Linked DNA regions of Rattus norvegicus. The protein of the gene in region 3 interacts with the protein of the main gene of each other region in a biochemical or structural test. Links are inferred from orthologs where the notes say so. Each region holds a gene or a part of one and is shown on either strand. Other genes may lie near its edges. The genes, in order: Mbp, Asf1a and Tlk1.

What was found.
Region 1: the proteins of Tlk1 (region 3) and Mbp form a complex in vitro, tested with the Homo sapiens proteins (2 studies listed by BioGRID, with this or other methods). The link is inferred for Rattus norvegicus from reciprocal best matches to the Homo sapiens genes TLK1 and MBP.
Region 2: of the proteins of Tlk1 (region 3) and Asf1a, one has a biochemical effect on the other in vitro, tested with the Homo sapiens proteins (3 studies listed by BioGRID). The link is inferred for Rattus norvegicus from reciprocal best matches to the Homo sapiens genes TLK1 and ASF1A.

The regions. Positions count from the first base shown.
Region 1 is NC_086036.1:78,209,405-78,213,159, reverse strand, and holds the start of Mbp (myelin basic protein), read right to left. Parts: upstream 2,839-3,755; coding exon 2,662-2,838; coding exon of another isoform or gene 2,644-2,661; exon of another isoform or gene 2,002-2,643; intron 1-2,001. UniProt on the Homo sapiens protein: The classic group of MBP isoforms (isoform 4-isoform 14) are with PLP the most abundant protein components of the myelin membrane in the CNS. They have a role in both its formation and stabilization.
Region 2 is NC_086038.1:33,449,187-33,452,015, reverse strand, and holds the end of Asf1a (histone chaperone ASF1A), read right to left. Parts: intron 2,763-2,829; coding exon 2,550-2,762; 3' UTR 538-2,549; downstream 1-537. UniProt on the Homo sapiens protein: Histone chaperone that facilitates histone deposition and histone exchange and removal during nucleosome assembly and disassembly.
Region 3 is NC_086021.1:75,934,008-75,937,662, forward strand, and holds part of Tlk1 (serine/threonine-protein kinase tousled-like 1), read right to left. Parts: intron 3,542-3,655; coding exon 3,372-3,541; intron 2,943-3,371; coding exon 2,807-2,942; intron 401-2,806; coding exon 289-400; intron 1-288. UniProt on the Homo sapiens protein: Rapidly and transiently inhibited by phosphorylation following the generation of DNA double-stranded breaks during S-phase. This is cell cycle checkpoint and ATM-pathway dependent and appears to regulate processes involved in chromatin assembly.

The DNA.
Region 1 (3,755 bases), on a different chromosome or scaffold from region 3:
CCCTGTTCCTGAGAGGCCAGAGCACAGCCTCCCCACAGCACAGCCCCCCTTTCCTCCCAGGACAAAGGAGAATGCTCTCTGTTAATGGACTTTTCACCACGGGTCTCAGAAGAATATGCCTTCTCAGGGCATTCTTCATGTGCTGCCTTTGAATGTCAGCCTGGAAAACGCACAAAGGCTGGGTGTTGTCCCTGCATTCTGGGAGCTGGGGGTGGTGACTCTGCATGGCACGGAGGTACCACGTGCCCCGGGGAGGGAGGATGCAGGAGACAACATGACCTTACATTGCAGGGTAAGGGAGGGGGTTCAGAGTCTCCCAGGTTCTATTTGGGGACCCTTTTCCACACAGGTGACACAGCTGCATCTCTAAGTGGCAGGTGCTGGCACTTGTACTGCTACCCAAGCACCCTGCATGCATGTTAGATGCCTATCTTAGAATAACATCAAGGGTGCAGGCTTTCATCACAAGTGACGCTAGCCTTTGGACTCTATTCTTTGCAACATTCTTAAGGACCTCTGTAGTATAGGAAAGCAAGCCCTGCCCCCCCCCCTCTACAAACATCAAACTACAAATAGAACAGATGCTCCTGACATCCCAGGGCAGTAACTGCCCCTGGCAGCTTCTCTGGGGATTGTGATTTATAGCCAGGTGTAGAGTGAGTTAAGCCTCCTTCACCAATGCTAAACAACCAAGGACCCACAATCAAAGAGGCTTGGACACCAAGGCTTGACCCTTGCTGTGTCCTGGGCAGGGAGCTTCCCAGAGGAAAGCACCTTTGGTTATGCTTGGAACAAGCTGCGGGAGGCACAGGGGAGCATCAACACAAACTCTGTACGGAAATGCCATAACCCTATTTCATATGCTAATTAAAACGCTAATAATAACGAGACCATAAGGACCACACATGCAAACACCGAGGGACTTTTTTTTTTTTTTTTGCTATGAAGGCTATTCATTTAAATAATCCTTCATATTCAAAAAGCACAGTCATGGTACAAAAAATTGACACTTGAAGTTTCAAAAAAATCTCAATTTAAAAAATTATATGTATTTATATATGGCGAATATTTGGACTGCTTCTGAGTTTTGAATTTCTTCTTTTTCTTGGAAAAGCAGCGGATGGAGAGGCACATCTGTACCCTCTGGGAGAGCCATGGAGCAACACATAAACCCGTTACAGTGTTTCAACTTGAACCATGACCTCAAGACTGGTTCTAGAATCTGTGCCCTGTAGCTATTTCGTCTTTCCTACCCAGTTTTAAGTCCTGTTCCTCCAGCTACATGGACTGGGTGAGGCTGTGTGCATGTGTGGTTACACAGATAGACCTGAGGGGGGCAGTCAGGAGCCTCTAGCCCTCAAGCGCCCTAAGACAGCTTGAAAAGCCACTGTCATGTAAATTAGCATTGGAAACAAGATTGCTGTCTCAGGCTGAAGGCAACACCTTTAAGTACAGACTGTGAAGGGACCTGGTGCAGCTTGAATTCTGTTAACAAGTTAGACACACCGAGTGTTAGTGACAGTCAAGTTGCGGTGACATCCAGGTGAGGGCCAGACTGCTGCTGAGACACCAAGGGGCTCTGATGGCCACAGGGCAGAAGAGCTGTCATTGAATCCAGCAGTTCACAACCATCTCCACTCTCAAAGGTGAGGCTGGAGACGACAGCATTTCAGAAACTGCACTGGCAATGGCTTTAGAGCCGTGGAGAGGCCTCTGCCCCACACTTCAGTCAAAAGCCTCTTGAGTTCTCCAGGGCTTTGAACACAGACACAACTTAAGAGACAGAAAAATCCCCAGGCTGTGAGGCTACTCACAAACCAGGGCTTTGTTCCACATCTCTCCCAAGAGTTGCTCGGCCATCCAACAGAGTCATAGAAGATGCCATGCACTTTCAAGGTGGCAGCCACCTGACACTAGTTACTGGTGTCACAAACCTGAACCCACAGGCTAATGCATAGTCCACCCCAGATGTTGCCCTTGGAAACTGGACCACCTGCACCGTTTTATCTTCTGATACATTTTAATTCACAGGATATTTGCTTTCGAAACATCATGAAACCCAAGTTATATTTAAATTAATGGAATCACACACAAACAAATTGTCTTGAACATACATTCAAACACCCCCCCGCCCCCCAACCAAACGACTTAAGACAAAGGGGAAAGTTTGTTGGAGGTGCAGGGGTTTGCTCGGCAGACCTCCTTGCCTCAACCGGACCATTGTTTCACAGCGGCAAGAAATTAGCAGCCTGAACCCAGCAGAGAATGAACACAAATCAGGATCGAAACGGGAAGCACTGTGCAGAGGCGGAATAGGCTGAAGCCCCAGGCATAGGGCATATACACTTAAGAACCAGTAGTCTCAATGACTCATCCAGGGAGCCTCAAAATTTAGGATGCAGAAGGCCCTTGCATTTCAGAGTGACACCCAATCGCAGTCCCTTGTGAGAAGGACAAAGGTAGCAATACGGGTTGACATAGGCTAAGTGGCGACCACGCCCACTCCTCGCCCACTCCCCCAGGCCATCACCACTGTCCAATCAGGGCCAGTATCTCAGACACAGGGACATGCCAGCCATGGTGACTGGCCCAGTTCACCTGCCCACCTCTCCTTCCTTTCTGCCAGTTAAACCCATAGTTCCTCTACGCCTCGGAGCTCACCTTGCCAGAGCCCCGCTTGGGCGCACCCCTGTCACCGCTAAAGAAGCGCCCGATGGAGTCAAGGATGCCCGTGTCTCTGTGCCTTGGGAGGAAGCCATGCCGGGCATGGTCCATGGTACTTGCTGTGGCCAAGTACTTGGATCCGTGTCGCTGTGAGGGTCTCTTCTGTGATGCCATCACATCCAGGCCTTCGGAAGCTGCTGTGGGATCTTCTTGGATGGTCTGAAGCTCGTCGGACTCTGAGGGCCTGTCTTTGAAGGTGTTGTCCTCCCTTCCCGGGGCATCTCGGGAAAAGAGGCGGATCAAGTGGGGGCGGTTCCCTGGGTCAGCTGGGTGGGCACCCTGCCAGTTATTCTTTGGGTCTGCTGTGTGCTTGGAGTCTGTCACCGCTGTGTCCTCGGCCGAGGTCCCATTGTTCTGGATCGCATCTGCCTCCCCTGCAACAACAATGAGATATGAATGTGGGCCTGTGCGAGGCCTCGAGAGGGACAAAGCCGCTTTCTTCCTGGGGTCTTGAACTAGCTGTCTCCTATAAAACGCACAGATATGCGCAGGGCCCAAGGAGCCTCGTAGCACTTTGAATAGCCTCAACCAAAGGGAGCTAACCCGTATTGAGCTTGCTTGGTATACGTGGCTCAGGGGCTGTCTTCAGATCCTTATCAAAAGAACCACTCCAGAGAGCGATGACCTGAGAGCCCGCAGCAATGAAGCAAAAACATTTCCTGAGTTGCTCACTGTACCAGAGAGCCCCGCAGGTTAGGTATCTTGTGGGCTGCTCACTGTCTAAAAGACCACTGGTGCACAAGCCCCAGATGTGAAGCCGTTGTTTGACAAAAGGTGCTTTTAGTGTTCTCAGTGGAGAACAGAACTTCCCACATCTTTCTGCAACTTACAGTCCAGGGAAGCAGGGCACTGAGCATTCCTCTCTCCCGGATTCCGCTGGAGGCTCTGGCTCCGGGAACTGCTTATTCAGGGCATTTGGATCTGGCTCCCTTGCAAGTCATGGTAACCAGATTGCTTCACGTGGGACCTGGGCACTTCACTACCGAGCACATGGAAAATGCAATGTTCTCACCGACGGCCGCAAGTCCATT
Region 2 (2,829 bases), on a different chromosome or scaffold from region 3:
CCTCCCTCATTTCATATGTCAAGATCATAATCCAAAGGTGAGAAAAAAGGTTGGTAAAGGTTTTGTAATTGTAGGAACTTAATTGCTACTTTTTACCCACTCAAAGATGTCAGTGGGCTTTGGCACTCCTGTAATCCATCAAGAGTCAGGCTGCACACAGTAGGGGCAGCGAAGGGCTACTTTCTTGAAAAACCTAATATAAATGTATACTTGCATTGCATGGTCATATGGCATTTTATACTATGGACTGCGATAGGAAACATGTCATAGTCTTAAAATTTTGCATTACCCTTAATTTACTTAGTTTGTGTGAGCATATATGGAAGTTAGGTGACAACCTGTGGGAGAATGTTTCTATCATGTGAATCCTGGGTACTGAACTGAAGTAGCCAGGCTTGGCAGCAAGCACCTTACCGACTGGGCCACGTTGACAGCCCCCATGGACTGAACAGAAATGAAGGGTCAGAAAGGGTTGTGAATGAGCAAATGCATGTGTGCCTCCTCAGACTTCTGAAATGTTTCAACTCCATACCATCATAACCTACTCCCCTAGCTCTTCAGCGGTGTGGACTGTGTGTGTGCATATGTGTGTGTTGTATGTGTACGTATTCACCAGACATTTATTTATACTGATAGAAACAAGGAAGTGGTGCAGGGTGTGGAGTCGAATGCCTTTAATCCCAGCTCTCAGGAGGCAGAAGCAGGTGGATGTCTGTGAGCTGAAGGCTACACTGGTCTAAGGAAAGTTCAGGACAGCCAGGGCTATGTTGAGAGACCATATCTCAAAAGAAGTGGGGTGGAGCGGAGTCTATAAGCCTTTTAACTGTAATTCAGACATAATGTCTTTTTAAATGAGGCTAATCAGGAGGAAAATCCCTGCATGCTAGTTTCTTAGTTCTTAATGTGTAAATGTTTCTATTCTTCTTTCACTTTTAAATTTAAATGCTATTGCATTTAAATAATAAAAGGCAGTATTTTATTTCTCCGACTTTTGTGACTATGGGCCATATATTTAAAGTTTGGTATAAAGACCTAAGCATGTCATCACAAAGTGGTTCTATAATCTAAGACTGCACTGAGTTGCTTTACTTGGTGATTTAATTATCTTTATTTCTGACAAACTTATTCTTACTGTACTGATCACTGAACTGTCTTAAACATTTTCTCCTAATTGTAGTTAGACAAAATGAGATTTTTTTTTCAAATCATTTTAGTAGCCAGAAATATTTATTTTTAAAATCTATGAACTGGGTAATATGGAGTCTTAAATTTCAAAGTTTAACATTTAACAAGACTTTGTTTCACAAATTTATCTTTTAAAAAAAGCAAGAAATATATTACAACTTATAGAGTCTGTATTTAAATAAATACCCCTTCCTTTTCCTCAAAATGCTTTTGAAAGTGCAGTATAAAAGCTTAGATGTGAAGGCACTGCATAACTTGAACCTATGGCTATCCTGGGCATCATCACTGATAACAACTGAGAATATTGTACTGTCAATTTAATGGATCAAAACTTTGAGGATTTACTTCTCATTAAAGAAAATAAGCTTTTGGCCCATTTATTTGGTGAATTCCTTTCTAAAACTATTCTTCTGAGAAAAAAAAAAGTGGTTAAGCTGTTATGTTAACTACAGATAATGCCCTGATCTTACACATTATGAGAACCAAAGGATATGGGGTAGTGTGGCTGCAAAAGGTAAGACATACTCTCTAGAGTCGCTAGCCAGGATGAAGCTGACTAGACCTTCCTAAATCACCCTTCAATAGTAATGGTGCCAGCAACGCACGTTCAGCATTCCTGTAAGCAGAAAGAGTGAGCAGATCTGAGCCATCATAATGGAGTCTTACACTTCAGAGACCTTATGTTTGCTCTTATGTGTTGGACTCTCTAGACAGTGATGGCTTAGGATCATAGTTTCTCAGTTTTAGATGTAGGAAAGCATACACGATAGTCAGAAGGACTTCAAAGGCAGCCGCATTTGTTATATAAAAACTAGAAGTCCAGTTTAATGTGAACTGTAGTAAGATGCACTGGGATGGCCTAGAAAAACCCTGGTGGCATGTGATTGATTTCAAATCCCATTTTAAATCTATCTTTTTTACTACAGAATGGAAATTTTCTTGTCAAATTATAAGGATACTATCTTCACAGGAAAAATCATTTTAGTTGAAGTAAACTTTGTCCTTTTAAAAGCTGATAAATCTTATTGTCCAAGAGGCTAAAACACCTTTACAACCCAGTCTAAGAATTGATAACTTTTCTTTTTATAAGTGCTTTAATTACATATAAAAGAGAAGAAAATAATATATATGCTTTAATCAGATTAGTTTCATGAACAAATAAAATAACACATTAGAGAAAAAAAGTCCTTAAAAATAGTTGTATTTATATTCCACAATTTGCTCAAATACTGGTTTTCTTATAAACTTTCTACAGGATGTTTTTAAACAAATTCTTCACATTTCACGTTGACTATGTACTTACGGAACTTCAGGGAGATAGTTCTGTTTTAATAGCTTAATCTGTACTAATGGCATGGCACGTGTCACATGCAGTCCATGTGGGATTCTAACATGACACTGAGTGAGTTTTCTGACGTCGCCCATCCCTTTGATGCTGAAGGCAGTGCATCTGTGGAAAGAAGGGACTGCAGATTGGGGTCACTGCTCTCTGCGTCTTCCAGTTTCTCTGTGTTATCTTCCCAGTTAATGTGGAACCTTGTGACTCTGGGATTAGAAGCCAAAATATTCCTTTGAAGCTAGAAAGAGAAACATTTAAATGGTGAGTACTAAGAAAGTTAGATTACCATGTGCAAGCTGGGTGTT
Region 3 (3,655 bases):
GGCCAGATGTCTGCAGGGGAGGGGAGGAGCTGAGAGAAGTAAGGAGTGACAGACACTGCAAAGTGCTGCACTCTACAGCTGCTAACAGACAATGTTTGGGAAAGAGAGGGTAAGGAGAGAGCGCCACATCAACTGCTGAATAACGCTGACCCAAGGAAATAATCAAGAAACGTGCCTTTCCTTGGAAGGATCTAAACTGATTCTAAGTTAATAAAAAATTACACATTTTTTAAAATAACAAACAGATTAACTTATCTCTATACAATTGAAGTTGGTTTTACAACTTACTTTTCTACCATAGAGGCACTGGAAGAAGATGACCCCAACTGACCACACGTCAACCTTGTTGGAGATCTTCGGTGGCTCTTTTCCAACTACAAAGCACTCGGGAGGTAAATACCTGTGAGTAATAGGAGGGAAAAGAAAGGACACGATGCTTAGTTTAAAACCTTCTAACCTTAAAATGCTTTGTTTTTTTTAAAGATTAATTTATTATATATAAGTACACTGTCGCTGTCTTCAGACACACCAGAAGAGGGCATCAGATTCCATTACAGATGGTCGTGAGCCACCATGTGGTTGCTGGGGTTTGAACTCAGGACCTCTGGAAGAGCAGTCAGTGCTCTTAACCCCTGAGCCATCTCTCCAGCCCCCTAGAGTGCTTATTTTATTTACTCACACATAAACTGTTTTCCATGAATCAAAGTTTTAATTCATTTAAACCAAAATTCGACTTTGTAAAAAATATATTTATCCTAAAGAAAACATGATCATTGGAGATTGTGATAGTATAATCTAAGCTTCTAATAATGGAAGAAAGACTCTCCCACCCACCTCGCCCACTGTCTAAATTGCAGATAGTTCTCTTTTTTTTTTTTAAAAAGATTTATTCATTTATTATATATAAGTACACTGTAGCTGTCTTCAGACACACCAGAAGAGGGCATCAGATCTCTTTACAGATGGCTGTGAGCCACCATGTGGTTGCTGGGAATTGAACTCAGGACCTCTGGAAGAGCAGTCGGGTGCTCTTAACCGCTGAGCCATCTCTCCAGCCCCGCAGATAGTTCTCTTAAAATACACACCAGACCACTGAGTCTCTCCTTTAAGTTACCCAAAGCCCTTACTTATTCCAGTGAGACAGGATCTCATATCTCTCCCTGTAATATAACCTATCCTAATTCGCAATATAAATGCCAAATCTACAATCACCTTTATCCCCGCTCTTACCCTAAACTGGTTAGTCAGGTCACTCACCCTCTTCTGGGCATGAGCTTTCTCTTTGCCTGCCACGCAGAACATGGCTTCCTTCCCCATGCCAGGGGAAGGAGGTGTGGTGCACCTACAGAAGCAGCAGCACTCCTTGCACTATACTTCAAGAAGTGCAAGGAGCTTTGGTTTACTGTGCAGCTGCAAACACTACCAGTCAGTGTGTGAAATATACCAAGCATTCAAACATTAACTTTTAAAATCCAAAACTGCTATTCATAAATTCCTATTTGACATACAAAGGTAAAAATATACTAACTTTCCGGAGGTTACAAGGCTGACAGACTGTGCTCTGCACTGTGAATGCAGTCACTATTTAGGCAGCACCACAGGTTGAGGACACGACTTTCATGTGGCTTACAAATAATCCACAAATATGACTAACTCCTCTCCAGCAAAGTCAGCACACGTCAGGAGAGTGGTCAGCACACGTCAGGAGACACGGGCTCAAGCACACTCCGTGTGGGCTGCCCCGGGCCCTCAACACTCGGTGGACTTGCAATCCTGTTCAAAGAAGTTGTGTGCAGCTCTCTTCCCTGCCAAATCTCCCTTCTTGCTAATCTCACTTATTTTGAGAACTAGGTTAGTTTTGAAAATGTTAGTCTATGTTCTCTACTCTAGCAAACTTGAGTAAGTTTGCAAATTCACACCGTCATGGGCTTTGTAAATGAGCAGGGTCCTGGTGAGTTCCATGACTTGACAAAAGCTCTTGAGTCACACAGAGTTTGGGATCCTGCCCTGACTTCTTTCCATGTGGAACAGTGCTGTGGAAGTGTCGGTCCACTAAACCCTTTCCTCCTGTTTGTTGGCTGTAGTGTTTCGTCACACCAACAGTAACCCTGAGACACCTAGGTATGTTCAGGATGACTTTTACATGTAAGAATCAGTTCTATCTAGATTTATAGCTACATAAAGAAATTTGAGTCAGGTCTAACGACTATGAATATGCTGAATTATCTACAATTAACAAACTCGATACCATTCATATATACACACACATACACATATACATACATACACACATCACAAATCTTTACAGAGAAGGCCTGAGGTTCATGGGTGTTCTTATTTGAAACAGTCAGGACATTACATCAGCAAAAGTACGTATTCAGATCATAAACATCACTCAACACCCTAAGAAAACTCACGATCTCTGATTCACACTAGAAGTTCCTGGCTGCTACATATTAAAGTCATACGCAGATGCCAAGACACCCTTTTTGCAATTTTCGATCTTTGTAGCTAAGAATGTAAGAAGAGAATACTAGCCACGAGACTCTCCCTCTCACTTCCAAGTCTTAGTATCAGCCTTCAATACAGCAATCTCAAAGAATATTTGAAAATGAAACTGAACATTCTTTTTTTTTTTTTTTCTTTTTTTTTCCCCCCCTGGAGCTGGGGACCGAACCCAGGGCCTTGCGCTTCCTAGGTAAGCGCTCTACCACTGAGCTAAATCCCCAGCCCCGACACTGAACATTCTTAAACCACTGGGGACTACTCTAAGCAGTCTCCCTATGTTTACTAATAATACATTTACCAGTAAGTGCCTGCCCCCTGGGAAGTCAGATCCATCCCATCAACACCATAACTGTCATCGTCCATAATCTTAGACAGACCAAAATCAGTGATTTTGATTTCTCCACACGCCGTTCCATCTACTAGAAGGATATTTCCTAAAAAACAAAGTACAACATTTTTAGTAATGTGCATGTGCGCATTCACACACACACCATATTTATGAATGAAAGGATGATTTTTACAACTAAGAGAAATGTTTGGTAAATAAATGTGTATTTGGGGACTGATTATGGTGATAGATGCCTTTAGTTCCAACATTCAGGAGGCAGAGGAAGGTGGCTCTCCCTGAGTTCCTCTGCCTAGGCTACACAATGAAACCCTGTTATAAAATACAAGCAGAAATGCAAACATAACCCCCACCTCCCACTACCCCACCCCATACCAACCCTGTAAGATACACTTCCTGAAATACCTGGCTTAAGGGGTTGGGGATTTAGCTCAGTGGTAGAGCGCTTGCCTAGGAAGCGCAAGGCCCTGGGTTCGGTCCCCAGCTCCAGAAAAAAAAGAACCAAAAAAAGAAATACCTGGCTTAAGGTCATAATGTATAATAGGAGGTTTGATTTCATTAAGATATCGTAAGGCATTCACAATCTGCATCACAATGGACCGTGCTTCTTTCTCAGACATCAACTTGTGTTGTTTCAGGTAGAAGTCCAAGTCATTGCCTTCACAGTACTCTAGCACTGTACAAAACCTACACCGGGAAGGGAGTAGTCAATAGAAAAGGTACACTGGGAAAGGAAAAATCATTCTCCAGTAACTAAGAATGCTAACAGAGAGATGAGACCATAGCCTACACCATCATCGA